Linked DNA regions of Nothobranchius furzeri. The protein of the gene in region 4 interacts with the protein of the main gene of each other region in a pairwise test. Links are inferred from orthologs where the notes say so. Each region holds a gene or a part of one and is shown on either strand. Other genes may lie near its edges.

Evidence for each region.
Region 1: the proteins of psme3 (region 4) and eaf1 interact in binary tests that used the Homo sapiens proteins (3 or more experiments, as listed by UniProt). The two-hybrid records come from large-scale screens. The link is inferred for Nothobranchius furzeri from reciprocal best matches to the Homo sapiens genes PSME3 and EAF1.
Region 2: the proteins of psme3 (region 4) and wdr25 interact in binary tests that used the Homo sapiens proteins (3 or more experiments, as listed by UniProt). The two-hybrid records come from large-scale screens. The link is inferred for Nothobranchius furzeri from reciprocal best matches to the Homo sapiens genes PSME3 and WDR25.
Region 3: the proteins of psme3 (region 4) and eaf2 interact in binary tests that used the Homo sapiens proteins (3 or more experiments, as listed by UniProt). The two-hybrid records come from large-scale screens. The link is inferred for Nothobranchius furzeri from reciprocal best matches to the Homo sapiens genes PSME3 and EAF2.

What each region holds. Positions count from the first base shown.
Region 1 is NC_091745.1:66,977,408-66,985,339, forward strand, and holds the start of eaf1 (ELL-associated factor 1), read right to left. Parts: upstream 4,845-7,932; 5' UTR 4,656-4,844; coding exon 4,553-4,655; intron 3,157-4,552; coding exon 3,062-3,156; intron 2,769-3,061; coding exon 2,632-2,768; intron 2,525-2,631; coding exon 2,352-2,524; intron 2,220-2,351; coding exon 1,998-2,219; intron 1,828-1,997; coding exon 1,778-1,827; 3' UTR 1-1,777. Other genes in the region: tRNA N(3)-methylcytidine methyltransferase METTL6, read left to right, coding at 5,501-5,797, 5,948-6,082, 6,335-6,505, 6,700-6,841, 6,984-7,138. UniProt on the Homo sapiens protein: Acts as a transcriptional transactivator of ELL and ELL2 elongation activities.
Region 2 is NC_091758.1:28,450,919-28,458,148, reverse strand, and holds part of wdr25 (WD repeat-containing protein 25), read right to left. Parts: intron 2,912-7,230; coding exon 2,781-2,911; intron 1-2,780.
Region 3 is NC_091754.1:31,266,335-31,274,340, forward strand, and holds eaf2 (ELL-associated factor 2), read left to right. Parts: upstream 1-3,402; 5' UTR 3,403-3,485; coding exon 3,486-3,588; intron 3,589-4,047; coding exon 4,048-4,142; intron 4,143-4,703; coding exon 4,704-4,840; intron 4,841-5,116; coding exon 5,117-5,286; intron 5,287-5,377; coding exon 5,378-5,599; intron 5,600-6,769; coding exon 6,770-6,813; 3' UTR 6,814-7,669; downstream 7,670-8,006. UniProt on the Homo sapiens protein: Acts as a transcriptional transactivator of TCEA1 elongation activity. Acts as a transcriptional transactivator of ELL and ELL2 elongation activities. Potent inducer of apoptosis in prostatic and non-prostatic cell lines.
Region 4 is NC_091756.1:48,473,548-48,481,474, forward strand, and holds the start of psme3 (proteasome activator complex subunit 3), read right to left. Parts: upstream 5,088-7,927; 5' UTR 4,958-5,087; coding exon 4,916-4,957; intron 3,096-4,915; coding exon 3,063-3,095; intron 2,960-3,062; coding exon 2,897-2,959; intron 2,376-2,896; coding exon 2,271-2,375; intron 2,190-2,270; coding exon 2,141-2,189; intron 2,060-2,140; coding exon 1,941-2,059; intron 1,221-1,940; coding exon 1,084-1,220; intron 979-1,083; coding exon 924-978; intron 125-923; coding exon 38-124; intron 1-37. Other genes in the region: nbr1a (NBR1 autophagy cargo receptor a), read left to right, coding at 5,228-5,329, 5,654-5,716, 6,205-6,223, 6,304-6,326, 6,499-6,681, 6,838-6,915, 7,386-7,609, 7,722-7,841. UniProt on the Homo sapiens protein: Subunit of the 11S REG-gamma (also called PA28-gamma) proteasome regulator, a doughnut-shaped homoheptamer which associates with the proteasome. 11S REG-gamma activates the trypsin-like catalytic subunit of the proteasome but inhibits the chymotrypsin-like and postglutamyl-preferring (PGPH) subunits.

The DNA.
Region 1 (7,932 bases), on a different chromosome or scaffold from region 4:
TGTGATTAATAAGAATACAGAAAAGAAAGCGTGGGGCCGCCATTCTTAATGTGTTAATATTTATACCAACAACATCATTTAACACCATTTTCACAGACATTAACACTCAACACAGCTCAGCCAGAACATCACCATCAGTGGAAGGGAAGGACTTTGTTCAAATCCAAACATCTGCTTAGAAAAAAACCTCTTGAGTGATGATTTCTGCAGCTCGCTTTTTTTTTAAATGAGCCAAAGTCATTAAAACCATTTGCGTAGGAAGGCAGAATTCTACAAAACCAGATCAAATGGCACTAAAAACCAGCAGCTGCATCCAGTTATATTTGATCTAAATCTGCCACCAAGTTCCAGTGGTCAGCATTTAGCAACAACTAGTTTTTTAATGTTTTTAACAAATTTAATTTTGTTTTAACCTCAAACGGTCAGTATTATTATTGTTATTGTTATTATTATGTTTACTTATATCATAAAATCTGCAGATTAAAGGAAAAGGCGCTGATGTCACTGGTGCGGTTAACAAAAAACAAAACAAAAAAAAAACAAACAAACGCAGAAACACAACCATTCAACACCATTACATATGAACTCCTGCATATCTTTTACATGAGATCAACTCTTTGGCTTATTTCTGAACTAATACATTCACCCTCATGTCTTCACTGAAACGCTGCAAGGCATTAAAATGTAATACGGAGTGGTTTCATTCAGAATCAGAAATGATGGAATATTTGTTAAAAAGGGAAAAAAAACTTGTCTGAAACTAACTACATTTGTTTTCTTTCTCATCAGAAACCCTGATTTGTCATCATTTCTTGTCTCCATGGTAACTGCTTGTTATCTGACCTCTGATGTGGTTAATTAAAAGAATTCAACAAAACATTTTAGCTTTTCTGAACCCGTAGTTTTGAATTCATCTCTAAAAAATTGTGCATTATTTTAGGGTTTATTTGTATTTTTTGATGTTTCAATCAAATAAGAACTATCTTCCTAAAATGTTTTTAGAAACCAAATTAAAGCTGAAATTAGAAGGTCACCAGAAAAAGTAAAAACACATTTGTGGTTCGGGGTCTTTTGCTGCCCCCTTGTGGCCGGAAAAATAACTGCAAGACATTTATTGTTTAATTATTCCATTTCAACAAAATTTTAACCAGCATGAGTTGAATTTTGACGTGTTGTTTCAGAACCTAAAGCAACGTCGGACATTCCCAAAGACTAATAAAAATATACATTATCAAATTAGTTATAAGGAAATGTTTTGGGAATGAATGAAATAATCCATCCACAATAATCGGCACCTTCTCTGTTAAGACTTGGGAGGAAAAAAGTGCATTTTTTAAAATTGTTACTTGTTGCAGAGTTTTGCTGATTTTTCTGTTTTTTTGCTGTTTTTTCATCCAACTAATAAAACACTAATACGCATGGAGAGAAGACTTCCACTACAGGGAAAAAGCTTTTTCATACTAGCCTCATCATAAAAAAGGAGAAAAATAGATCAATTATGCAGATAAAACTAGTGTTTTTTATAAGTACTTAAAATATGTCTGAACACTCTTTATAATCTTCTACATCCTAAAGTAAAACTCTGTTTTTTCCTATACAAAACAAAATGCACATCTAATAAAATGCTATCCTAAGGTTTCTGGGTGGCTATAATAAAATAAAATGTTAAAAAAATACAGTCAAACCAGAAACTTAAAGCTGAGGTCAAAAATCACAGCAAGTGAACGCAAGAACCAGGAAGCGAGGAGGAGGAGGAGTGTGGAGGAGGAGAGCGACTTCAGTCGTCATCACTATCGCTGCCCGACTCGCTGAGCTGAAGATCGCTTCCTGTGGAGGAAAAAGAAAAGTAATAATCTAAGTGAGTAAACTAACTCGTCTGGAATGTATCATCTGAGGAAATCCTGTAATAACACATAAAAATGTGAAGGCACTAACTGATAAATGCAGAGATTTAAAAACAGAAACAGGAGAATCAGCGTTTACGCAGAGCTACTCACGGAGTGTGTTCATGAGCTGGTTGTTGCCCTGCTGCCGGTCTCCTCCGCCGTTGGTGATGGGGGTGCAGCTGGGGGAGGTCTGGCTGAGCGGTTGCGGGGGGGCGTCGTGCTCACCATCGCTACTGCTGCTGTCGTCGCCGCTCCCCGAGCCGCTGGCTGAATCGGACGAGCTGCTGCCGCTGCTGCTCATCTGCTCGATCACCTCCACCTCCGCCCGCAGCTCTGCCAGCGGCAGCAGGTCAGAGACATTATTGGTTCTGGGTTCATTTCACACCAGTTACAATATCCAGCTGATATTTTAGCTAGAATCAGTTTGAGACACACCAGTTCCATCTTGTGACAGAACCTTCTCACCTCGTTTGATGTCATCCAGCTGAGGCTCTGGGGACGGGTTGTCCTTCGTGTGGGAGGGTGAGGTTTTGTTCCCGGCCCCTGGTTTGGTCGGGGCTCGGAACTGAGAGCTTGTCTGGGAGGAACGGACGGACTGCTGCTCGATTCGGGCCTGGATCTTACTGCTGCCCTCCGCCCTATAAAAAATAAACACGGCAGACTCACCAACTGTTGCTCCTTTCTGCTCCCCACTTTAGAATGAATGATTTATCAAGTGTGAAAAAGTAATATACAATTCTCCCACCTTGTTTTCTTGACCTGGATGCTGCTGCTGAGCTTCTCCAGGACAAATTCCCCCGTGTCGTGGTTAATGATGAGCACACAATCCTTCTGATACAACCGCTTGTTTCCTTTAAATACCGTCATTGGAGGCGTGGAGCCCTGGAAGAGTATGTAACTTTACTTGATCCTTTGATTTTTCTTAATAAAATCATACAAAGGGGCTTTTACTTGTTTATTTTATTGGTTCCTGATGTAACTAGATGAAACTGAAACTACATTTAAACATAATCAACTATGATTACTCAACCTAAGCTGCTATCTGACTTTGTTAGCAGAGGGAAAGCACTTGATTGACACTTAATAACATTAATAATGTTGAATAACCATAACTGTGAGCCAGCTGACACAAATGTGAGAATGGTGCTTTGTTGTTTACGTCTCTGCAACCTTACTGGAATATGAGGTAGTGTTATGGTAACTTCATCTCCTTTCCCAACTTGTAGCTCTCCCTCACAGCTCGTGTCGATCGATGCTGGTTTGAAGTCATCTAAGAATAAATAAATAAATTAGGCATGAATCAAGTCCTTTCACTGCTTAGAAAAACTTAAATAAATAGAAAAAGAAGTAAATTATATAATTATTAGAGATGTATGATATATCTGCATCAATATCGAGTATTGGCCGATGTTAGTACATTTTTAACATACCAGTCCGACAATTAAAACTGGGCCGATTTTAAGAACTGATATTTTTTCCATCTTATTTCCGTTTGTGTATGTTTCAGAGGGTAAGGGGCAGTTATGATGTGTAATTGTTGAGACATGTGACCGTGATGGTAATCATCTGGCGACGGTGGCACAGGAGTTAAGTGCTCGCCCTGTAATCGGAAGGTTGCAGGTTCGAGCCCCGCTCAGTCTGTTGCTGTCGTTGTGTCCTTGGGCAAGACCCATGTTATCTGCTGGTGGTGGTCGGAAGGACCGGTGGCGCCAGTGCTCAGCAGCCTCGCCTCTGTCAGTGCGCCCCAGAGCAGCTGTGGCTACATCGTAGCTCATCCCCACCAGTGTGTGAATGTGTGTGTGAATGGGTGAATGACTGGTTGTGTTGTAAAGCACCTTGGGGGGTTCCAGGACTCTAGACGGCGCTATATCAAATACAGGCCATTTACCATTTACCAGAAGCGTACGTGTGTGTGTGTGTGTGTGTGTGTGTGTGTGTGTGTGTATAACATAATGCAAATTCAACTTCATAGAAATAAAGCAAAACATTCCAAAATTCAACTTGCATAATTTCAGTCTATTCAAAATCTGCTGATTTCAGATGCATAAAACGGTATTGGCCAATATTGGTTATCGGCCATAACAGTGATACTAATCTCGGTACCGGCCCAAAAAATTCATATTGGTGCATCCCTTATTATTATTAATTATTTAGTTTCTAAAAATGAAAGAGATTCAAACTTAGCTAATCACCCTTATATGTTTTAAATTATAACTTTGCTTGACTCTGCTAATATGACATTAATTTACAAACCGGGAAATATTTAAATAATGTGCTGCTGGTATTTGGGTGAAATGTGCATTTATTAATTATTGGTCACACTGTCTACTTGGCTTAGGAAATGTTTAAATAAACAAAGCAAAATTAAGTAAAAGTTGAATGATGATCAGTTAATAATTGATAATAACCAAGGACTTAAAAAAAAAACATTAAACCCCACAATTTAACTTTCTATTTTTTACATAATAAACACATTTCTGTTCAGCAATTTCTTTCAGTTCGGTGTTTTGCAGTTCATACATGTAAATCAAATTTTCTCATTTATTGTGTACTTCTGTAACCGTAATGAATGTAATAGCTGTATCACTGTGAGCTAATTACTTCCAACCAACAGCTGACTTTACTAAAAGCTTTTAGAAACACAAAGTGGTCTCTTTCACACTCACATCTGATGGTGTGAAAAGATGATTTTGGCCTTTTCTCGAAGCTCTCTCCGAGCTTCAGAACATGTTCCTCTTTGTCCAGCAGTGGATTTGTGTTTCCGTTCATGACTTCGTCTGGTTGAAACCGGATTAAATTTTACATTTGTGTTACAACCGAAAAACAGAGCTATATCCAGCAACTACCGGAGATGATAATCTAAATAAAGATAAAGTTAGCTTGCAGATGCTAACCTTTAGCAAAACAACACTTACGTCACGCGACTGCAGCTTTTTCGGTGTTAAGTGAAAAACGGTTTACTCGTATATCAGTGTGCGGGTTTTCCGTTCTGAATTCTTGGAAAATAAATATGTTTACCTCATTGAACAATTATTCAGTTATTAGTATTTGACTTAAGTATGAATTTATTTTTACCGAACACAGATTAAATAATTTTAAAAAGTAATATTTTCCGTACGTTTTTGCCATGCTGTGATGACTAATGTTTTAATTAAACTATCAAAAGTTTTCAGTTTAGTTATTTTATTATCAGATAATTGGTTTAAACAACAAAGTTAAAGGGGAAACTCGCTTAAAATAGGAGGAGAAACTGTTGTTGTGAGGAAACATATCTCGGCGTAACACTGCCTTTGGTCCGAGCATCAAATACCACCGACGGAAAACCAGACTGGGTGTAAGTGATTTCAGAGCTGTTAAAAATATTTGTAACTTATTTAAACAATAAAATTGTACAGTCAAAATTTATATTATATTTTGTATAAATTTTGTGTTTTAAAGCGTTGACCACCGTGGTATTTTTTTTAATAACACCAACCGGTACCGGTGTCATCGATGCTGCACAAGATGGATGCCAAGTGTGGAAAAATATTACCTCCTTTTTCTTCCTATTGAAGCTTATATAAAGCTTTATTTTATAAACAAACTATCAGAGAGAACGGCAATCTAACACAACAATGGCGTTAATGACAAATGAAAAGTGCAAAGTTGAAGACATTGAAGAAGTGGAACCCGAAACAAAGGTGGAGTCACGGGGACGAGAAACAAAACTTTGCTCTGTCAGAGATTTAACTCCAGAGGAACGGGACAGACTGAGCAGTGAGCGGACGCTGGTATCTGATTTCAAACAAATTAAGCTGGAGAAAGAAGCGCAGAAAAATTGGGACTTGTTTTATAAAAGAAACACCACGAATTTCTTTAAAGACAGACACTGGACCACCAGAGAGTTTGAGGAGCTTAAAGCCTGTCGGGAGGTGAGCGGATAAGGGGTGTTTGATTAAACTTAGCATATGTAGTGTAGAATGAACTTAGTTTATGTAAAGAATATCAACGTTTCACAGTGATTTGAGGCCAAACGGACAACAAAGTGATGATTTTGGGTCACGTGGTCTGTCTCTTTGCAGTTCGAGTCCCAGAAACTGATTCTGCTGGAAGCTGGATGCGGGGTTGGGAACTGCATCTTCCCCCTTCTGGAGGATGACCTCAACATCTTTGTTTATGCCTGTGACTTTTCTCCTCGGGCAGTTGATTTTGTCAAAGTAAGGTGCTTAACTGTGTACTTGTGGAAATCCACCTTTTCTAGCACGTCTAGTTAATCTTAGTGCTCTAGAAGTTAAAAATAAAAATGAAAAAAAGCTTTGCTGCAGTGTAGCTGCCTTTGATGCCATTTGTGGTAAAACCCGGTTCAGCTGCCTTAACAGGAGATTTCAAGGGCTAAGAGTAACCAAATGGGAAAAAAACAGCATTTAAAGATGTAAACATTTGTTTTGTTATTTGTTTTTATTAATCAGGAAAACCCTCTTTACTGCACTGAGCGCTGTTGTGCTTTCCAGTGTGACTTAACAAGAGATGATCTGATGGAAAATGTCCCAGAAGGCAGCGTCGATGTTGTCACGCTCATCTTTGTCCTGTCGGCCATCCATCCCGACAAGATGAAGCTGGTTTTGGAGAACATCAGCAAGGTAGAGTTAAGAGCTGAGACCACCACGCACAATTCACTCAATTCAGGTGGAACTTAAAGGTGCAGTAAGTAAGAGTGACATCCTGTGGTCAAACATGGTTACTGCAGTCTATTTTTTTGAGTACAAATCACTTTTTATGCAAACCTGCACAAAACTGGCATTCAGCGATGTAACAATCTACATGTGGCTTTAAGGTGCTGAAGCCCGGTGGTGTTGTCTTGTTCAGGGACTATGGCATGTACGACCACGCCATGCTCCGGTTTAAATCTGGAAACAAGCTTGGGGAGAACTTCTACGTTCGCCAGGATGGAACAAGGTCCTACTTCTTCTCCAAAGGTCAGCAGAGTATTTCTGTTCAGTCAACTCAGTCTCAAGTGAAAGAGGGGACATGTTGCACATTTAAAATTATTGAATTGATTATATATGAATTTGTTTTTTTTTTCCTCCTCCTGGAATCTTGCTGTTTTCAACTTTTCAGAGTTTCTGGCTAAGCTGTTTCTGGAGGCGGGCTTTGACCTTGTGTCCAACGAGTACGTTCTGAGAGAGACGGTAAACAAGAAGGAAGGACTGTGTGTTCCGAGGGTTTTCCTTCAGAGCAAATTCATCAGACCTGCACATCCACAGAGCTCCTGATGTCACTGTTAACTCACAAATCTCTAAGGGAAGACTGACATGTCAGGTTTGGACTGGATGGAAAAATGTACAAGTTCTGTATGATGGGAAGCCATCATAGGACCACAAGGGGTTTGGGGACATTTTAAAAGAAAGTGTTCACTTTTCTTACAAAATATTTATAAGCTGTGTAACATTTACTCTGTAAATAAATTCTGAGCTTATTCAGCTCTGATGTTGAGTTGAGGGGAAGCATTTATTTTTCAGGGGCACGTGGTGGACAGTGGGGGTTGTGGACATGGCAGGGCACGGGTGCCCTGTCTGTTGAGTAGATCCCAAACAGGTGCCTCCTGCCCCAGAAGATGTTTAAATTGTTTAAAACCAGTGTTGTGCATCATGAAGGAAGAGGAGAGCCAAATGTTCAAGGATAAAAGTCTGTTAAAACCAATTTCTCTGCCAAAAGTGGAAGTGGCACCACAGGTAAAAACAGACGTGTAAGGTTTTTAAAAGATTAAAAAAAGTGGATAAAATCACATTTCAGGAGCTCAAATTGCTGCTTGCAGATGTCAATATAAGCCTTAATCACATGTGGTTGGAGCGCAATGAGACCAGGGATCTTTCCTGAAATATCCATTTATGGTGGCTCCAGGAAAAGACAAGAGTGAACGCTCTTCTCATCTGCACATTCCTGACACTGGAGTCTAAGCGTGGTGGGCGTGTCTGCATGTTGTTCACTGTAACAGGTGTTTTGCAGTTCATACGGATGCTGATGCATGCATGTTTACAGCACTTCAGAAACCCTTTCCCCACACACT
Region 2 (7,230 bases), on a different chromosome or scaffold from region 4:
TATCCAGCTTGTCTGAGGTTCTTTATGGCTGAAGAGGAAATCCGGATGGCCTGTCCGAGACTTCTCTAGAATGCTTGAACTAGGGTTGTCACTGTGTGAAAATTTAACCTCACGGTTATTGTGACCAAAATTATCACGGTTTTCGGTATTATCGCGGTATTTTTTTAAACGTGTTACATTTTCAGACAACTAAATAAACCCTGTAAATCAGGAAAATATTGTCCTCAGATTGTGTCTAAATTTAGCCTAAAATGTGTTATTTTGTAATTATGTTGTTTATTTGTTTACATTTTTCCCCTTAAGTCTTTAAAATACCAACATTTGCCCATAACTTCTTATTTTTTGTTTGTTTGATGTCATCATTTTAAAAATATTTGATCAGATGATACTCAGTACTCAAGTTCCCTTCTAATTAGATACTTTTTTTTACCCTTACTTGAGTAACAAACCCTGTATCAGGAAAATATTGTCCTCGGTTTGTGCCCTTCCAGTGAGCTTTGCAGATTTGGGAAAATGTCACCAGGCAGTAATCATTGTTAAATTCATAATTATTCTCGGAGAGAGACCAACTCTTATCTGCCCCTGGGAGCCCCGTAATGCATAGCGTCATTTCAACATGGGGGTGTCCACGACACGGTTTATATGCAGGTAGCGGCGCTGCGGCTGCTTTATATAGCGACTCGTTGCTTTCTCCCTCAACCCAAATCCTTGGATCACGCATTTTAGCTAAAACGCTAACGTTAGCTTGCCTTGCGTTGACATGAGTTGTGGATGATGGTCACACAGATGTGTCATGAGATTTGAAGCGTTACTGCCTTTCACAGACACTTTTTCTGCTCGTGCTGCAAACAGGATAGCCGTCTTCTATCAACTGTCCCTCGGCATTCTTCAAATATCCAAAAAATGCCCATACTTCCCACTTTGTCTTCTTTGAGGGATTATAAATGTCCTGTGCGCTGCCATCTCCTCCTTTGGCCATTATTTCAGCTTTAGCTTCAAGAAAGTTTTGGTTGTAAACAACAAAGTGCGCATGTTCCGCCGGCAACTTCAGCAGATGATACGGTGGCTGGTAAGGGTCACCGCGCCTACACCGCAGCCACGGTAATCCACCGAGATAATACATTTTTTAAAAACAAGACGGTTATTATTATTGTCAACTTTTTTACCGGGGTTTACCGCTACACCGGTTACCGTGACAACCCTAGCTTGAACTGAAGAAAAGGTGGCGTGGGATAGTTTTTATAATTGCCATATTTTGGTTTACTGGTGGATCAGAATTTGACATGCCAAAAGAGGGTTTATACAAACACCACAGATAACCACGCCTAGCCAGAAATGAAGGTTCTGATTGGATCAGACAAAAGGAAATGTGTTGTGTGACTTTAGCATAATGTGTCTTTAGTGTCTAGTGCAAATGTCCAAGATTATAATAACTTGTAAAATACTACTGTTCACAGGATTATAATATCAAGTAACAACATTGTCATTTCACAGATTGATTGAACATTGGGCTCACATTATTTTTGGTAATTAACAAAGTTGTTGATTATGTATTTATCAAAATAGTTCTTCGTCCTCGCTTGGTAACAAAGGTGAAGCAGTTCAGATGAGCAGAGTGCATGAAAGACCTTGGCCACTATCTCATGTAGATTCGCCTGTCTATGTCTCTGCTCATGCAGACGCAGCAGATCATGACCTTTAGGTCATAAACAGGACATTCATGACGCTACACTTTTAATGTGCGTGCTTCACCATCGGGGACAGTTTTTAAGGTCATGCTAAAGACTTTTTTATTTGATCTGGCCTTTATCCCGTGGCCGTTAGTCTGCTTGTATTTTCTTTTATTAGTGCGATTTGTATGCCGTTTTAATTTATTTTTATTTATTTTTGTAATAAATTAATTTTTGTTTTAATCCTTGTCCTGTTATTACTAATACATGTCTGTACGGCGCTTTGGTGTCACCCCTGTGCCTGTAAGGCACTTTAGAAATAAAGCTTGAGCTGATTATATGATCCATGTTCGGTTAAGTGGTTTGGTCAAACTGAAGTTGGCCAGACGGGGAGGAGGGAGTTGGTTTTACCTTTTGACCCCACTTGCCACACGAACCAAGCTCCTCCTCTCTGTAGCGTTAGACTTGTGCTCCTGTCTGGGAGCTTTAACACAACACAAAAGCCTCCCGAGTCCATCTGCCTCCCCTCTAATTGTTGGGTCTCCGGGTGGGTGAGCTGATATTGGTGCAGACAATATGTTGGTGTACTTTTACCCAACAGCAAGACAGCTCAAGCCTAAAAATGACACCCAGCCTGAGAACTAGAGCTTTAACAGCCTGTTTTCTGAGAACTGCGCTTCGCTTCGTCTGCAGCTCATTTTGACGCCTACCGGCAGAAGCATTTCTGCTGTGTTAAATCTAAAACCCTGCTGGGAGCCGACTCGGTTGGCTGACGGGGAGAAATTACATGTGAGCCTTCAGATTCTGAGGAGGTGAGCAGGATTATCATATAAAACAGGCCATTAGGCTTAATAGCAACATTAGGCTGCAGCTTCACAGGAACGATCTACAGCAGGAGACTGGGATTAAATTAAAGTTTGTTTTTAAACGTTTCATGAAATAACTTGTTGTGTTCTTGTGCATGCAACAGCATCATGCAATAAAGTCCAGAGCAAATCATCTAACAGATAGAAGTAGCATGTAGCTAATAAAAGCAGAAGCAGGAAGCATGTTAGAACAAGAGGCAGTAAAATTGCATGTCTCATATCCAAGGAGGGTAATGGGTTTGACCTTGCAGCAGCGAGAGTCCCAGGCTTTGACCACTGAACTGTAACCGCCACACAGGAACACATCTGGGCTGTCCGGGTGCAGAACCACACACATCACCTTAAACTGGTTGTCCACTTTCACTGCCTGCTGTCCTGTAGACGAGAACAGAGCCAGGATCAACTTACTGATATTCTCCATGAAAGTGAGAAGTACACGCAAGTTTACAACTTTTTAAGCAAATTATTTTGTAATTTTAAAAGCCATTTAAAGATAGAAGCTATGTTTTTTTCATTTAGCAGAATTGGGTGGAAGGATCAATCAATTAAATCCAAATAAGAATCAGTCAATTCATGAACAAATTCCCTTATAATAAGTCACGTGCAATTGTGATGGGTTGAAATGTTCTAATTACTGTTTACTGTGTTTACCAGTATGTGTGATTTAATGAATAATAAGAAACGGGTTCATTATTGTTTACATTTGCATTGTTTGTCAGTACTTTTTCTGTTATGCATCTTAAGCTTCATTGCAATTTAGTCGTTGTAGTAACGAAGTGTGGCCACCGGAGGGAGTCTAGCGCTAGTGAGCCTTAGAAGAGAGCACGACCCTCCTGGCTCATTCAATACACGTTTGAGCAGAGGGAATAACGTGTCCGTGTTTCTTTTATCATTTACTCCCCTTTTCAGGGGATTTACATTTGGAGGCACCGCTGGGATCGTGGTTGCGAGGCTGGAATCCTACGGTGTAGGAGAACATCCCACATAAACCATCCCATTAACAACCCGGGTAGTGGAGGGTGGAGCTGCAAGCAAGGTGACGCCAAACCAAGAGGACTGTGCATTCTGAGGTGCTAAAAAAGAAAGCTACTAGGAAGCATCAGCTCTGCGGTAACTGGCTAAAACACTAATCTTCAGCGCACCTCAACACTTTGGAAAAAAAAAAAAAAAAACGAAAAATGGATTCAGAAGTGGAAAGTCTACAGTTTGAAATTAAAGGAGCCCTCTTCCAATTTACCAGCGACCAACTGATCAAAATATGTAATTATCTTGACATTTCTGGAACAAATAATGAAAACATCATAGGGAAAAGTCGTAATTTTATTGTTTCACTGATCAGCAAGCATATTGAAAGTGACAAACTGAGCCAACTAGAAGATGCAGGAATGTCAGTACTATTGGAATTATTGGACATGATAAAAACAGTGCAGGAAGATGAGGAACAGGAGAACTTGAGCAAAGAACTAGAACAACTAAAACTCATAGTTCAACAGAAAGAAGCTGAAATGCATATGTTGGCCAATAAAAAATTAAAGGACACTGAAACCGGATTGGTCCAGGCTGCTCCTGCCTATATAAACAGCGGCTCATGGAGGAAAGACTTCAAGATTTCAGGACAAATTGGTGACCCCGGCCAAAAGGACAGACTAACATTTTCCAGCTTGGCCCGCCAAATAGAGAATGGTCTCAGCAAAGGTTACCACGAGTCAGAGATAGTGGATGCTGTTATAAGGGCAATAGTTCCTGGTCTACAGCTGCGCAGCTACTTGGAAGGAAAGAGTGATCTGTCCCTTCCCACTCTTAGGAGAATCCTTCATTCACATTATCAAGAGAAAAGCGCAACTGAGTTATACAAACAACTTACCACAGAAGTGCAGAACAGCAGAGAAACACCACAGAACTTTGTTATTAGAGCAATGGATCTGCGACAAAGAATATTGTTTGCTTCCCAAGAGGCTGAATCTGGTCTTAAGTATGATCCGGCACTGGTACAAAGTATGTTTATGCACACAGTTCTCACTGGCCTTCAAAGTGACTGCATAAAGACTGAACTCCAACCACATTTGTTGAAACCAAACACCTCAGATGAGCTACTCCTTGAAGTTCTAAATATCGCCTGTGCTAATGATAAAGAAAGACAGGATAAGAAGAGAGCCACAACACAGAGATTTACTGCTGTGCATGCAGTCCAGTCCAGTGACACAGGTAGTAAGAGGAAACCTGTGGAAGATCAAAATGTTACTACACTCCCCACCGATTTTCTGTCAGACCTGAAAGAAATTAAAGCAGATATGCTTTTGCTAAAGGACCTCAAAACTGAGGTTGCACAGATCAGGGAATCCATCCACAACAAAGAAGAGAAAAATAATACACAACCTGCAGTGCGCCAAGGACCAGAGTATGGTTATCCCTATCACATGTCAAATACTCACCCACAGTTTACCACCTGGACCAGAGAGGGTGCAACGGTTCCTCATCATCAGAGAGGGCCTCTACAGGAATACCAAGGTCCAGCTGATCCAGGATTGATGAAAGGAACTGCCCAGTTTCAACAAAGATTTGCACCACAACAATACCCGGTGCCACGTGCCAGACCGAGGTGCTATACATGCCAGGAGCAAGGAGAAAACTTCTGCCAACATTGCTACAGGTGTGGAAGTAGTGAACATTTCCAAGCTGGCTGCAGAGGGAACAGAGGCATGCATGCTACTATAAGGGAGTATCCTTTAAACGAGGGAGGGTTGCCCCCGCGGGACAGGGAGTGACCATACACACCAAGAGGTCCCTAAAATGTGCCAGTTGTGGAGGAACGGAAGGAGAAAAAAGATTTGGACAATGTTCAGTGTGCAAAGTGATGCTCTACTGTTCCAAAGAATGCCAGGAGAGTCATTGGCCAGAACACAGAGAGACCTGTAAGCCACCCATAACAACCGTTAAAAAGACACAACTATGCAAAACAACGACAGGGAAAAAGAAAAGTAGTGTCTCAAAGAAAGACACTACAGTAGTCGACCTGGTGGGAAAGAAGTGTTTCATTAGCTGCTACCTACAACAAAAGAAAACAGAAGCGCTCTGGGATACTGGGTCGCAAGTTTGTGCAGTTGATGAAGCATGGAAAGCTGAGAACATTCCAGATGTTAAACTCAGGGACATAGCAGAAATTGTTAACCCAGGTGATCTACAAGTTGAGGCTGCCAACGGCACAGAGATGCCATACGTAGGATGGGTAGAAGTGTTGTTTAAACTAGCAGCTGGTCCGCAAGAGTTTTATGTCCCAGTGCTTGTTATGAAAGGCAGCCAACTTTCCCGCCCCATTATTGGTTTTAATGTTATTGAACACATTATTACTAATGGTCAGGCTGAAATGAACAACAATGAAGCAAAAGAGGGGTTTTTAAAAAGTGTAAAAATGGCTTTCCCAACTTTAAAAAGGGGGAATGAGAAGGCGTTCATTAAAGCGGTAAGGGTGGAACGAGCATGTGAGTATCTGGTTAAAACAGCATGTTCGAAAATGAGTGTGCCAAGCCATAGTACTCTCCAAGTAAAATGCAGAATCAACGTCAGACCATTCAAAGAGGACACTATGTTGGTGTTTGAACCTGATGGGAACCCACTATGGCCAGAGGGGCTCCAGTTTTGTGACACTCTGCTTAATGTACGAAAAGGTGTTCAGCCTAATATTGTTCTTAGTGTACAAAACCCCACAGATCGCGACATCACGTTAACAAAAAGAGTAGTTATCGACACTGCACAGCCAGTCATATCTGTGTATCCAGTCAACACAGGAAATGACTCGCAGCTACCCGTGTGCATAAATGATATCCAGACTCACAATAGTGAGGACCGGGAAGCTTCTACAGAACCGTGGGAGCCTCCTATTGATCTCAGTCACCTGACTGAGGCTCAAAGACAGATTGTACGTGATATGTTAAAGGAGGAGTCAGATTCTTTCTCTCGATCTGACAATGACATTGGGTGTATAGAGAAGCTTCAGTTAAAAATTGAGCTAAAAGATTCAGAACCAGTCGCCCGTACTTACATGTCAGTCCCTAAACCGTTATATGATGAAATGAAGGACTATTTGACTGATCTGATTGTGCATGGATGGATTGAGAAATCATACTCGTCCTATGCCTCGCCTGTCGTTTGTGTCAGGAAAAAGTGTGGTTCGATGCGTCTTTGCATTGACTACAGGGAACTGAATCGAAAAACACATCCTGATCGGCAGCCAATTCCAAGAGTTCAGGACCTTATGGATGGTCTTGGTGGAAACACCATGTTCTCTCTGCTTGACCAGGGAAAGGCATACCACCAGGGGTTTGTGGCAAAAGACAGTAAACATTTGACCGCTTTTGTCACCCCCTGGGGGTTATATGAATGGAATAGGATCCCATTTGGGCTAATGAATGCACCAGCGGCCTTCCAACGCTGCATGGAAGAGTGCCTTGAAGGGCTTCGTGACAAAATATGCGTCCCATATTTGGATGATACACTCGTGTTCAGTAAAACATTTGAAAGTCATGTCAGTGATGTTCGAAAAGTTTTGCAAAGACTCAGACAACATGGAATAAAATTAAAACCCAGCAAATGTGAGCTGTTTAAGACTGAAATCCGCTATCTTGGAAGAATAGTATCAGCAGAGGGAAATAAAATAGATCCTTCGGATACTGCAGCGGTCCGTGTTTTAAAAGATA
Region 3 (8,006 bases), on a different chromosome or scaffold from region 4:
CTCTTCTCGTCACCGTGACCAAATATACTGAAAAGGCTGATTCTTTATTTAAACATTTGTACATGCACTTGTTGCAGTTTGATCTCCATATAAAATATTCATATGAAAGTTCATCTTAGAGATCATAAAACAAGTAAGTCTCAATGGAAATTTGGTATTAAAAGTTTTGCACTAGTTCTAATAGAAACATCTCCATCTCCAGGATTATTGCATTCATTTAGATTGTATTTATGTTCTTCAGGACTCGTGAGCTACAGTATGAATGCAGCCAACCCCAGAGCAGATGCAACAAAAACATGAAAATAAACCTCATAACTCTTAAGGTTTACTGGAATTTTTTTTTAATGAAGCTGAGTTTTCGTGACTGCACTTTCAAAGTATCTGGCGCATTATGGGGCTAAAGGAGTGGCGTGACATTTTGGAGCAACTTTTAAACACTTACTTAGAATATTGTGACTAAATCAGGGGTGTCAAACTCATTTTAGCTCAGGGGCCACATTGAGGGAAATCTAGACCAAAGTTGGCCGGACCGGTAAATTAAAAAAAACTTCAGATTGTTTTCTTTGTTTTAATACAATCAATATAAAACAAAGCTGGAGCCTGAGGACAGGGTATCCAAAATAGTACGACACCTGAAGTGTACTTGAAAATTTGAAAAAATAAAAATAAAAATCAATCAATTAAAAAAACATTCCTTAGTGATTCAAAGAGCTTACAGATCACATGGCTAGATCAGTTTCATGCAGCACTTAAAATATATTTGACTCATTTTACTTTACATCTTTTAGCTTTCACCAGCACATCAACATCAGAAGTCACATCCTGAGTGGCAGCCGACTTCAGGATGTGATTCAAGTTCTTGTGTGAGCCTTGAGCGCAGCTTTGTTTTATTTATACTCATTACAGAGAAAACTTGCTCACAAAGATAAGTTTATTTTCACTCTACATTGTAAAGTATGAAAATAAAGTTTACACAACCATCTCGCGGGCCGGATCCGGCCCGCGGGCCGTGTATTTGACACCCCTGGACTAAATACTTGGAAATAAGGGGAACAAGCGAATCTAGGTTTTGTATATCATAGAAACATTAAATTTTTGCTTCCCAACATACTCTGGTTAAGGACTCAACAAACAAGATAAGGTATCTGCAGGTCTAAATACAAAATAATGTGCTGGCAGGTGGGTTTGTTGTCCCTGGACACATCTGGCTGGTGCATGTTGATATTCGTGGTACATGTTGTAGTAACTGGAACGCACTGACAAATAGTATGTAATAAATTTGCATCAGATGGTTTGATGGGAATTTAAATTATCCAAGTTAAATAAACAAAAATGAGACTATTCCAGAGAGTAATTGTGAAAATGGCTTCCATTATTACTGATTTCATCCAGGTTGGTAGAGCCTGCTCAGGCTCCGCCTCTCCCAGCAGACAGGTGCTATCCTCAGATTCAATAGGAATCCTCTGCTGTGACTGGAGGATTTAGTTGCTCAAAAACCGTAAACCTCACCTCCTGCAGTCCAGGGGCAACCCCTAAAGTAACTGATATCACCAAAGGACAGTCAGTGTTTACCTCCATCCATGGAAACAGACCCATGCTGTTGTCTTTTCACACGGGATTCAGGATGAAACAGGAATCCGGTCTTTTTATAATTTGTCTTGGTCCATTTTCAAAGCTCGTCAAATTTAAAGGGTTCCCATCACAAAAGACTGTCCCTCCTCGGTAACCGGATAACAATAAATATGAGCCATGACGATTGCCCAAACAATCCTGTTTTCCATTATATGAGGGCTGCATTCTGCATCTTTAGGCAGAGCTGACAATTAGTGAGTCGACATGGACGTGGACATATGCACTATTTCCTCATGTGGACCATGACACGAGACAACTGTTGTGATCAGCTGGTGATCACACACTTGTGTTAAAGCCTGACTCTCCACTTGTTAGATGCTGACCTGCTAACTAAGGCAAGAGAACATATGGTCTCAGTAAATTTCAGGCAGAGTGAAGGATTTAAGGCTTAGGATTCATTAGCAGTTTAAAGAAAGGAAAAGAGATTATTTTAACAGCCACAAGGTTCATGGAGCTCAGAGCTTCTCAGAGCCAGAGAGGCTCAAATCTGCGATCAGTAAGTGTTTCTGCTGCAGCTCATTACAATCAGAGCTGCAGGATGTCCACATGCTGTGTCTGAGGCGCTCTGCCCAGTGAGGCTGGTAATTTGGTTCAGATAGAGGAGCCGATGTTTGTTAAGGACACTAATATTACAACAGAACAGGATCAGCAATTATTATGAGAGTCAACCCCATTCAAGATGGCCCCTCAAAGCTAACAGCTATAACCCAAAATCATATGATCTCAGCACTGAGGGCATTTGCCCAAAGAACAAAGGTCTTTATTTTTATAATTTACAAGGAATAGTTCCCCATAGTTTTTTGAGGGGAAAGTTCAAATCTCTTCTTCAGATGCAGATGGCATTTTTTTATTTCCTGCATTGTTGATCAATAATATTAATGTCAGAACTTTGGTGCCTAATAGTAGCTGGAGTGTAGTCTCAGTCATGCAGGACGTGGTCATAATGGAGGATGTGATGATTATTTGATACATGTCAATTCTTCTTCTAATGGCTTTTTAATTCAGATTTTGGATTATAATAACTTTTCAGGTGAGTTGATGTTTATTTTATTTCATGTAACACTGAACTTTGTACCAGTTTATTAAAATACAGCTTTTTGTTTAATTACATTTATGTTTTTTCATCCACAATATCCTCAGTGAACAATATTGTGCTTGTTCTGCAATATAATGTTCACTTTTTCCACTTTTGCTATTTCTCACTCATAATATTACAAGAGCAAAGACTTGCAACCCTGATAAAACTTGTCTAACAACACAACTATAGATAAAAAACTAGCTAAACACCTGAAATAAGGACCAAAAAAAGCTTCACTTGAAATTGCTATTGTTGTGTCAAATTACATAGTGTATTCATTTTTTATATAATTCATTTTGGAGCACATCTCCAAACCTTAAACTTGTTTTTTTTTTAATGATTATTATTTTTTACTTCAGGTGAGGTCATGGCCCTAACTTTGGGAAACACATAAAACATGAGCGTCATTCCAAAATAAACAAAAATAAACAAACCAAAAACTATGTGTTGTCTCTTATTTACCTCAAATGATAAATAAAACAGAAATTTTTTTTCAGGAAATTATGAATTAAAAGTTTTAATAGCTGTGGGTATTTACATAAGTTATTGTCCACATTTTAAAAATTGTCACCTTTTCACTGTAGCTGCCCAATCAATACAAGTGCTTAACTGACAGGTCTTCATCCAACCAGAAAAGCGCAAAAATCTTGTCACCCAATAATAATTAGGAGACTTTACTAATGGGCGGGACTTAAACGTTTCTTCTGCCAGCATTACCTGCGTTTGGCATCAAAAACACGGAGGAAACTTTTGTATACGGTTCGTGTTAGTCAGAATGAATGGGACAACTTTCTCCAACTTTGACAACCAGGAACATGTCCTGAAATTGGGAGAGACGTTCGAGAAACACCCCAAAAGCTCTTACCACACAGTGCGATGTAAGTGTTTTTTTATTCGTCGGTGACGTCTGGCTTTTCACTGTAGCTAACAGACGCATGCTAGTTAGCATTAAAGCTAAACATGCTGAGATTACCGTTTGCCATCCGGCATACAGTTCTATCGCCGCGCTCGATTATATTTCTCAGTGTGCTCCTTCAGTGTTCTGCTAAATTGTCGGCTTTTATTGTGGAACTGTCAGTTTACGTGAATAATAAAAGCCATTGTTGCCATTAACCGTGAAAGTGCCAGCTAACGTGTTAGCGCAGCAGCGTTAGGTAGGAATTTAGCACCACCTTGTGGCTGGAAGAATGAACTGTATCGCCAAAACATGTATTGTCTAGTAAAATGTAAGTAAGTAAGTAAAAGTTTATTTATATAGCGCCTTTCACAGATATAAATCACAAAGCGCTGTGTTTCATGTTTCACTCGAGACCTTTTTCTACCTTTATCTGTGACAGATGACTTCAAACCAGCATCGATTGATACAGCATGTGAAGGAGAACTTGAAGTTGGCAAAGGAGACCAAGTCAAAATTACTTTACCAAATTTAGAGGTTAGTAAAATAAAACAAAAACCTTAGAATTTCTGTCTCTTTATTCAAGACAGAACAATTACAATGATTAATATATTTTACCGTTTTCCTTCAAAATACATTTTTATTTATTTCAAATTGTTTTTATTACACTCTCAATTAAGGGCTGGGCGATATGGCTTAAAATCAAAATCACGATATATTAAGGATTTCACCTCGATAACGATAAATGGACGATAACTACATGTATGCACAGAAACAAAAGTTGTCCACTAGATGGGGCTGTCACATGTATTGAGTCATATTTTTACATGACTCAAGGTGGTGCAGCTTAAAGGGACATGAACGTCGCCAACCCACACACATTTTTTCATTTTTTTAAATTAGCAAATTTATTGACATGGGAAAAATTCTCGTTAACAGTCAGAAATTTTGATAACGATAACTTTTCGATTTATTGCCCAGCCCTACTTACAATAAATTACAACTATCTTTAGCACCTTTTCCTTCCAAGAGTTAAACTTTAATATTTTTAATAAAAACAGACACGTATAATTTAATATTTTGGTTTTCCTTTTTAAGGGTTCAAGTGCTCCTGTTACAGTCTTCAGTGGATCTAAGAGGCCTTACATGAAAGAATGCATCCTCATTGTGAACCACGATACAGGAGAGTACAGACTAGAAAAACTCAATAGCAACATAGCCGTGAAGAAGACCAGGTGAGATAAAAAGGCTTCCTTATTTTTTAAAGCATTCACTATTATGATTAGTGATTTAATGCAAACCAATGTGTTGATTTTTTTTTTTTAGAAAAGCTTTTCTTTTAGCTGTTGAAATTAGATTTGATCCCTTCTAAATTCTTAACCAAGAAAGATTTGCACAGAATTGGCAAAACACTTAATTGTTTTAAGTGTATTTAACCCAAAGTAATGAGTAGAATTTTTAATTAGAAATGTTCTTTATATATATTTCCCCTCTTTTATGTGACATTCCAGGGCTGAGGGCAGCAGTAAAATCCACTCTCGTCTAGAGCAGCAAACCAGTCGCCTGAGTCAGCAAATGAAGAGCAACAGCAGCGGCACGAGCAAAACCTCATCCAGCTCCAAGAGCTCTCCCCCCAAAGAGAAAGCCTCTTCACCTTCACCGATGGATGACATAGAGAGAGGTGACACAGCTTTGTTTGTGTTCATTAAGGCTGTACGTCTTGGTTGTGGTTGTGCTCCATCAATATGCTTATTTCTGTGTGTCTGGAGCAGAGTTGATGGCAGAGGCGCAGGTCATGGATCAGCTCAGCAGTGGCGACAGCTCATCAGAGTCCAACAGCTCGTCCTCCAGCAGTGACGACAGTTCAAGCAGCAGCGATTCAGAAGAGGAGCAGACTCCTGCAGCGCCCTCGGCCAATCAGAGCATGCCTATCATCAACACCAGCTCCACCAGTCGCCTCCAAGAGAGCGGGGGAGGACTCATGAACACACTCAGTGAGTAACCTCGGTGACCCTGCAGCTTTTGCCCACATATGTGACTGAACCAGTTCTTTTTTTAAACACTAAGTTGTTGTGGTTGTGCATTATTCTTGCAGACACACATGGATTTACTAAGTGAAGGGATTACAATGATCTGCCGTATCTCCTGTGTTTTAATCACGGCCTTTTTTCAAACTTTAATGTATGCTAAATACATTTTACAGTTGAGTGTCTTATAGAAAGAACTGTAGATGTTTTACTGTTGTCAGGAGGTGAAGATTTCAGAAAGGTTGCACACGTCAGGGAAATTTCCCAACACCTGCTGGAATTTCAGAGTCTGAGGCTGAACCACAACAAAACCCTGCTGCTGTTATTATAGCTGGAGGTTAAACTGCCATTAGGGCTGTCGCAACAGCTGTTATGACCCTTCATCTCTTGACTAATTTAATTATCAGTCAACTCTTCAGGATTTTCTGTCAAAATAGAAAAATAGTTATTTTTGTTTTTCTTTTATTTTGAAGTCATTTGTTCACCACAAACAGGAAATGTCCTTGTTGGGGTTAGGGCTCTCCTGTTGGAAGATAAAATAGGACTCATGAGTATATTGTAATATATAAATTCTATATTTTATATGTGGTTTTGATTGTAAATGAACATAGTTGTTAACATCTATACAATTAAATGTGCTTAAACTCAGAGGTTTATTACACACACTTTAATAACGGACTACGGTGTGTTAGGGTTATGGTTGGTTTGGTACTCTGTGATTTATTGACAGCTGTGTCTGGCCCAGATTGTTTCTTCGTCTTCAGACTTTGTGGGGAAGATTCTTAACTTTTTTATTCTGTCATGAAACCTTTTCTGCCACAATGTGGACAACTCGGATACTCTCTTCATGGCAGTTAACCAACGCCTTCTGTATATTTTATCAGCTGGAAACCTGTAACTTTGACATTACTGTCCTTTCGTCTGTTTGTGCAGCCCGCGGCGCTGCATGTGTTAACCAAGCTGACAGATTTTAGTTAACCAATTATTGACAACTGACAGATAACACTGTTGAACCTTCTTCTGACCCTCCAGTCTGAGGCTGGGAGGCTCGTACTCTTGATGTCACGTGTCAAGGGATTTATAGCTACCACCATGACAGTGTGCAGTCTTAACACTTCTTCAAATATCTCCTTGCAGAGAATGACCTCCAGCTGAGTGAATCAGGAAGTGAAAGTGACTGAAGAATCAGGATGAAGGCCAATGTGAGGAAGACTGGATGAAGGAGCTTGTCACAAACCTGTTCACCAGGATTGGTCTTACTCATCCACTCATCTGAGTTTTGTCTTTCCACCAACAAATCTCTGTAGTTTTCTGGCTCTGCTCATGCTGTAGTGATTCCTGCCTCTGGAGTTAGAAATGCATCTCCTCTAATGGCGGTGCTTTAAACCCACCAGAGGCAGGACAGCTGTCATTAGAGTCTAGACTCTTATGCTTCTGCTTTTCACGTTTACATTATTGAGCTTTCATTTTGAAGTTTCTGCTAGCCTTTTTTGTTTTATTTTGTAGCACTAAGCAGCAGAAATTAAAAAAATATATATAATTTCACAAAATATCCCTTTAAACCATCAAACTTGACTTGTGAAGAATGCATATTTATTAATTTATCTCTTGGTCTTTACCATTTCCAAACAATACTTCATTTTTTTTTTGTGAGAGTCGGTAAAATATTTTGAACTTAAGTCTACTTGCCACATATCAGAGAACATCGTCTTAAAAATCAAATATGGTGTTTGCTACAGTACTAAATGTTCATCAGAAAGCCAAAGCAAGATGGTGAAATGATTAATAAAAGCAGTCGACTGTAGCGGGAGAGACAGCTTTTATTCTGCGAACCTGCACTCATGGACTCTAATAGGGTCTTGCTTTGTAGCTTTAAACCTGTTATACTTGAACTTAATTATGTATCCTTCTACACACATTTGGCCAGTAACTAACTGGTTCTGTGTTTAGCTCCATATGGAAGCAACTGGAAGCCAGATGTGTTCTTACTGCATCAGAGTGAGTCTTAAAGAACTGGAAATGCCTCTTTAGTTTGTCTCAGGAAGTCAACTGCAGGCCTTCCTCTCTTGGTGTCTTTTCCATAAGTGTCTTTTGTCCTCTGACCTGTCTCATCAAACGGGAAGCTGCGGTTTCTGTCCCAGCAGTGCTCTGACACCGACTGTATAAACCCAGAGACGGGGGTCCAAAAAGCCTTAATTAAAACACCTGTTGGTCTTAAGAAAATGAACACTTATTTGTTAAATATTTGAGAAGATTTTTGTCAAATATTAAAGATTTTAATTGTTTCTTGAACCTACCCGTTTGTGTCATAAATGTTCTGATGCAACTCATGTTGTGTAGCACAAATACAAGTTGCTCATTTATCTCACTATTT
Region 4 (7,927 bases):
ATACACGATGACTAGACTGTTATTGAAGACAACGCACATATTGGTTTCTGAGCTCCGAAACTATGATCTTCAGACTGATGTACTCCTTCTCGTCAATTTCTGTTACCGTGCGCCGATAGTCCTCCTGATTACAAGGAGAAAAACGGTTTGTAAACACAATGAAAGATAGATAATGGTCAGAAATCTTGATATGTAAATATGAAAAGTATAAATAGCCAAATTTTTCATTCATCCCAAAAACAGCTTGGAAAGAAAACATGTTGCACACACGTAAGCATCTTGGAACAAGATAAGCAGACTTTCAGGTTATTCTCAATCTTGTAATTTTCACATCATTTATAAACATTGCTGTTAAATCAGCATTAAATGTAGCACTTCCAGCACACACGGGGTTGGGTCTGGCGGATATTTTTTAATTAATGCCAAAATAACAAAGTAGCCCAAAACAGATGACAGTATGGGAATTAGTAAAATAACATTTGCATGAACTGCTGTAACATGAGTAGTTTTAGGACTATTGGCATAAACCTTATTAGTCATATAGCCTGTTTAGCAATAAGATTGTTCTGAAAGCTATCTAAAGGGTTTAATTAATAACGATAATAATTTCACACAAAAATAACCTTTATGAGTTGCACTTACTTCAGCAACACACAACACCACTGAGGTAAACATATTTAATACATTAACTACCTTATAGGTGGTCCAAAGGCACATAACTAATTTGAACCACTTTGTTAGGAAAGGCGCAGCAGTTTGACTAAAAAATGCTTAAATCACATCAAGCCTTCAACGACAGTCAGACATGGACCCAAAATCACGTAAATGATGTGAGAAATGTTTAGGACATTTAAACATTCTAGCATTAATTCTATTTCCAATACTTGGAATAAAACTGAATCCATTCTAAGATAACTACTTACCACATGTGGATATTTGGCTATTTTAGAAACCAGCTTTGCCCTTGTGATGTAGTATCTAGGATTAAAAGAGGAATCAAACAACGTTTGGACACTGTAAAAATACACAACACCATTTTGCTTTGTTTAGAAATAAATCCATATGTTTGGAGCCTCTGCAGACCTTGAAATCTGATCGAGGTAAGACGCAGCCTCTCCTTCGACTGTTCTGAGTTCAGCTACCGTCTCCTCCTGGATTGAAACGCCAAAGTTGTTGCCATCCTCTATCCTGGGGATGAGGAGCTGAACCCACATTTTAACCTGCGGGGAAAAAAGAAACAATTTGAGTGACAAAGCATCAGTGATACGTGAGGTGTGGCTAGTCAGGATGTAAAACCAACACATATACAAATGATCAACTTAACTCATATTTTAATACATCTGCGGTGGTCTCTAGTAGGCAGGAATGCCTTGTAAATTGTGCTCTGAAGAAAAAAAAGCTCCAGTGTGCCTGTTTCAGGATCTAGAAGTGAGCCAGATCAAAGCGGAGCTGAACACAGCAGGATTTGGAGTCTTTTTTCCAAATACTTGGACATCTCGTATCTCTTTGGCTAACAGCAATGCGATTCTACCAGTGACTCTGTTTAGCAACACTGATGTTTCATCTCCACAAATAACACAAGCCTGGAGGAGTTCTGGAATGTGGTGGAGTTACTAATGCTAACAGTTAGCTTCTACTAGCGAAGCCATTCTCTGCCCTTTCCTGGACTCTAAAACAACAGCCTTCCCCGTCGTGAGTCCATGAATGTTAAGTGACAGGGTGACGTAGATCTGTCAGGATTTTCTAATCCTAGAGTTTCACCGTCTATTTTCTATCAGAAGCTAATGCAGGAGATAGGTGTAGGAGACCATTTTCATGTTTCGCCTGCATAAAAATCTCAGAGTGACCAATTATAATAAGAATTATCATTAAAAAATGTTTTTCCAGTAAGGTTGACATTTAAGGACACACATTGAAAGAGACAGACACGGATGACTTACTGTGTTACATTTCTCTATGAGTGTCCTGATCTCTGGCTTGACCTTTTCAATAAGCTCCACAAGGTTTGTGTTGCACTTCATCATCCCACCAGGCATGACGAAGACCTTTGTGCCCGTCACTGGAAGATAATTAAATAACTGTTAGGCCTCAGACATAACATCCAGAAAGATGAGCATCTGACCATTCACACAGTACTGACCAATGTCTTCACGACTTCCATCCTCAAGCTTTCTCTTTTTGGCATTTTGCTGTGAAACAAATCCAGCAAGATTAGATGTTCAGCTTATTTATTTTTTTTATCTGTAACTAGTGTGGAAAGTAAAGCTCACCCCTTCCAATCCGTCATTAAGGTTTGAAAGCAAGATGGGGTCTGGCACCGTCAGGTTAATCTCTGAGTGGATCTCCTTCAGCTCGGTGATGTTTATGCAGGGATCCTGAAAGGTAAAGACCAGATTTGTTTTCCATTATAGAATTCAGTGTCTGGAACATAATGTGCAGCCTTTTGGCAGTTTTGTTACAAAATCAACTCATGAAATGAAATGTTTGTTAAAGAGCAAGTCACTCCAAATTAACATATTTTTTTCTGATAAACTACTTAAATGAGTGTCTGATCGTGCTGTAGACACGTGTAGTCAATAATTCGGCATTTTAGTTCATCTTGGTTAAAATTTTAATATTCAGCCTAAAACTGTCAGTGATGCACCATCGTCAGGTAAAAACTCAGCACTGAATTTGAATTTAAATCTGCCATCGCTATTGGCTAAGAGGTACACTATGATGTTAGATGGTACATTATGATGTCACAATGTCGTGAGTGTGTGTATTTGTTAGTGGCTCCGCCCTCTCGGTCTGCTAGGCAACAGCATTTTTTGCATTTTCCAAACAGAAAGTGGGAGTTGAGTAAGAATCTGGTCGGGGTGACTTGCTCTTTAACAAGTAAAAACTACCAGTTTACCTTGAGAAAGTGATCAAGTTCCAGCAACTTCTTTGGAAAAAAATTTGCTACTAGATCCTCCGCCTGGAAAAAACAAATGTACATTTTTTTGCAGATGTTCTACAACCAACCCCTCAAGATGAGTCGGTCAAACTCTCCCCACAAATAAACAAGTTTTCCCACTTACTTCTGCTGAGATTCGCTCCCTGAAAGCATCAACCTGCAAACACAAAAATGACAAACTGAAAAAACGTACAGTTAAAAAACAAACATTTGACAGTTGGTTAAATTAAAACTCACAAGTTATGTGTGAGATTAAACGATCAAATAGAATAGAATGTATTAGTTGAGCACTATGTTTAGCTATTAAGGACCAATTAATAAAACCTTTTAAAACATATTGCAGCTCTCACGGGCCCTTTTAAAGTTCTGAACTTTCTCAACCACTGACATGTGAGAACTCTGTTGTAAATGATAAATGACCCGCACTTGTATAGTGCCTTTCATAGTAAGGACTCCAAAGCGCTTTACACTACAGTGTATCATTCATCCATTCAAACACTGACGGTAATGAGCTACTATGTAGCCACAGCTGCTCTGGGGCACACTGACAGAGGTTGTTGTGGTGTTACACGATAAAGGTTTGTCTCACATTTTCAAATGACACACACACACACACACACACACACACACACACACACACACACACACACACACACACACACACACGAGGAAATCGCCATTTATATTCTGTTGCATAAAAAAATGTTCCTTTTTTGATTAACCGAGTAAAAAATTACATTTCAGAAGATATTAAGATTGTGTTTTGGTTTCGTCAATGCAGTAAATGATGCAGAAGTCATTCCATTTTTTTAATCAAATACAGAGCCCACGAAACTGATGTGAAATAGTTTTTTTTTAACATTTGAACTGCTAAAGCAGAGCTGATAAAACTCGAAAGTGACAGACGGAGGGTGTAGCAGACACTGACAGTGGAAAGATAAAAGAACTCAGTGTCAACGTCACAATATGTTACCAAAATGACCTATGTTGTGTATTGTTGTGTATTAGGGTAGCTGGATTATTGGGCAGTGGGTGATTGTGGCCAATACTGAAATCACATTTAACATTACAATTACTAATTGAGGTGGGAAACATTAGACATAGATGACATTTTAAGAATGAAAGTACAGATTGATGTCAGCAGGTGGCAGAATTGACAAGTAGACTAAATCATATGACACTTTAAATGAAAAAAGCTAAATTAAATGTATCACTATATATATATATATATATATATATATATATATATATATATATATTGTATATACATATATATACATACATACACACATATATATATATACCATACCATACCATACCATACCATTTTATTTATAAAGCGCATTCAACATGGCATTACAACCAGACAAGGCGCTGTAAATATATATATATATATATATATGGAAAAGCAGTTTATTTTACATATAAAGAAAAGTCTACTCTTGGTTTGTTAGAACTTGGAGTACAGGTGTCTAACAGAAAAAAATAAACATTTTTAAAAATTGTATATAAAATAAGATATATAAGATAAGATTAGACAAGAATACTCGTTTCCAACCTGGACTTAAAACAAGCGAGTTACGTGCAATTCGAAGCAAAGTATCCAATGAATTCTGATGTTTAGATTTTATCAAGGTTTAACAAGAACTTCGATTGGTCTGTTAAACGTTGAGTTAGCCCAGTGGTAGCTAAGGCCTTCGGCGCATGTGGGTCTAGCGGTGCAATATTTGGTTTCTAGTGAGAAAATTAAAATGGAACCTCACATCGTCCATCAGAAAAACGTATCATCTATCTCTTCCAGCACCTGCCTAAAATGTTTCCCAGACGTATGGTAGCAGGCGGGAAACAAGCACGTTAGCAATCGTTAATTGTTAGCAAACTGGCGCATATCATGCTACAAATGTGGCTAACATGCTACCAATCAACAATAACATATAGTAAAGCCTTCACTGGAGCTTTCGCTCGCGCTAGTCTCACCTTGGTTTTGATTTCATTGTCCACCTTGAGGAGTGAAGACATCTTCCGTGATCAAATACGTAAGTAAAGATTGTCCCACCGGCATATGCAGTAAACGTGTGGCTCCTTGCTTTTCAGCCACACTCACGTCAGCTTACAAATGACGACAACAGCACGCGACAGATGCTCGAGTGCGCCTGCGCGAGACGCCACTGTTATTTTCTCGACGCAGCTGACGATGTAAACAAGAAACGGCAGTCTAGAGCTAAACAGGGATCATACTGTCCGCTATCGTCGCAAATGGTTTCAGTTAAAAAAGCGTAGAAGGCTGTCATGGGGCTCCCAGTCACTATCAAGGTCAACTTCCGCGGGAATGTAAAGAGGTTTTTGGCTCAGGATTTGGACAAATTGGAGTGGGAGTCCGTCGAAGCCTGGGTAAGCGGCTGCTGGCTAAAAGCTGGCGCAGTTTGGTGAAAAGCAGGCCCAGACACGGCCTAGATGCGCGAGCAGCAGCGCACCTGAAGGACAATCGATACTGTCAACGGGATATGCGGAAATACCCGATTTTTCCAAGAGCTGCGGGAAATAATACGTTTAGTTTGGGCTTCTACGTTTATTTTTACACATATATTTCTATTTTCGATGTATTTTTTTTCCTGTGAAGGCCTTCTATTATTGATGTCACAGTCCGTCTGATGAATGATCGATTTAATACCATATAGGTAAATCTGACCCGAACTCTTCGACATTATATTTCAGATCAAAGCATCGTTTGGGATCAACTACTTTCAAGTCAAATACTTTGATGAAGATAATGAAGAGGTGAGATGCTTTTAAAATACAGTATGACCACTAGTCAGGAAGTATTAGACTTTATTTTTAAATAAATTGTTACAAATATTTATTTAAAATGTGTTTTAATTTTCAAATAATTAACAATTCTTTTATATCTTATTAGATTGCTATTACTCGTTTCTTAACTTAAAACAATGTGTTTTAATTGGGTTTAAGTTTGTTTATAAAATAGTTTGAAAACTAATTCTGACAGAAGAGCTTTGAATGCCAATTATTCACTCAAATCAATCAGCAGTGTTTACCTAATCAGTTGTGCTTTGTCAGTCTCAATTCGTAAAGAAACTTGTGACCATAGCTGTCCAAAAAAGATTGTGACATTTATAAAGCAATTTATTTTTGAATGTAAGAAATGGAAACGGCAATGATAAGACAAAAATGGGCCAGTGGCGAAAGTTTTGCATTTAAAAAGATGACATAATTAATTAATCATGATTTTATTTATCTTCTTGCTTCAGATTTGCATAAACAGTCAAGGTAAGAAAACATAGTTTGGGATTATTTTGGCATGTCCTACAGAATATGTAGGTTTTCATTTGTTTTTGTTTGCTTTTCAGATGAATATGAAGAAGCCATCAAGGTAAGGTGACCCTAGTGTCATTTAGTTGGTTGCCATGCAACTAATTTGTCATTAGTGACTCAAAAGACAAAGGAGCATGCTTATCGAGATGTAGCCAAATCTAAACAACACGTTCCTCTCTTGTGTGTTTTTCCTTTTATAACTTTTATGTGATGTTATTGCATCTCCACAGAGCGCAGAGAAGCAGGGGAACCAGTTACACATGAACGTGTATAAGATGAAAGGACAGGCCTGTGGAGGTCCTCTGAAGACAGAAGTGAAGGAGCTTAAAGGAGACCTCCGCCCTGCTCCCCCTTACCCATCAAGAGTCAAAACTGTGGAAAAAGGCACTCAAGTCACCCCAGAGCGTGAAACTGTAAGGAAACAACACATTTTAGTTATTTGTTGCTTTGTGTGCAATTTTTAAATTTTATTTAATAGTATTTTTACTTCTAAGTAGGACAAATCGTCTTGGCAATTTCTGTCTCGGCGTGTTGTTTCATTGACATACGTATGATGTATTTATGTACAGGTAGCGGTAAAAGACAACAAAGGGAACAGGCCCGAAGATGAGCCTCCTCCTATGTGGTTCAGGTCGTACATGGAAAAGGTTAGAGCACACTGAAAGAGCAAGTCAACCCCTACCAGAGTCTTACTCCACTCCCACTTCATGTTTGAAAAATGCAACAAATGCTGTTGCCTGGCAGACCGAGAGGGCGGAGCTGCTAACAAATACACAGGCTCACGACAGCATTGTGACATCATAACGTACCAGTTTACATCATAGCATACCTCTTAGCCAATAGCGGTGGCAGATTTAAATTAGAATACAGTGCAGAGTTTTTACCTGACAACGGCACAACACTGCCAGTTTTAGGCAGAACATTTAAATTTTAACTAAGATGCGCTGAAGTGCCAAATTATTGACGACACGTGTCTGCAGCACGATTAGACACTCGTTTATTTAGTTTATCAGCAAAAAATGTTTATTTGGGGGTGACTTGCTCTTTAAATAAAACAGTTCCTGTGAGTTAATGTGTTTAGCTTCTGCTAAAGCTAACAAGTCTTTTGTTATGGTAGTTTAAGGATGAAGTTGTAAAGGAGGTAGTGGAGAAGATGTGCAACGACTTCTCCGGGCAGTGCTGTACCCACAAATCCTCAGATGGACTCCATGAGGTTGGCGGTGCTTGCGGAGGTCTTGTGGAACCCGGATTGGGCCCCTCTGCTTCGAATGGATCGCTTGGCTACACCCCAAACTGCAGCACCTGCAACAAACTGACCTCTGAAGGGGCTTATAAATGCAGGTAGGCATGAAAGACTTCCAAGAAAACAACATGATGTAGCATTTTGTATTATAAGGGGTAGATTTTTATTAGCATGCATCATGTTTTCATACATTCTGTCTTTTCCTGGCAGTGTGTGTCCTTCCTGCATCCTCTGTGAGATGTGCAGACACAGCCACGACCCCAGTCACAGCCTCGTAAGAACCAAGACACCTCTCTCCATTCCTGAGCATGGAATGTCAGGAGAGTTTAGGTAAACTTTAAACTGAGGATCATCTGTCTACTTCTTGTTGTAATTTAAAGTTGTTGCCTTTTGGTTGTCACATCTTCACTAATAAA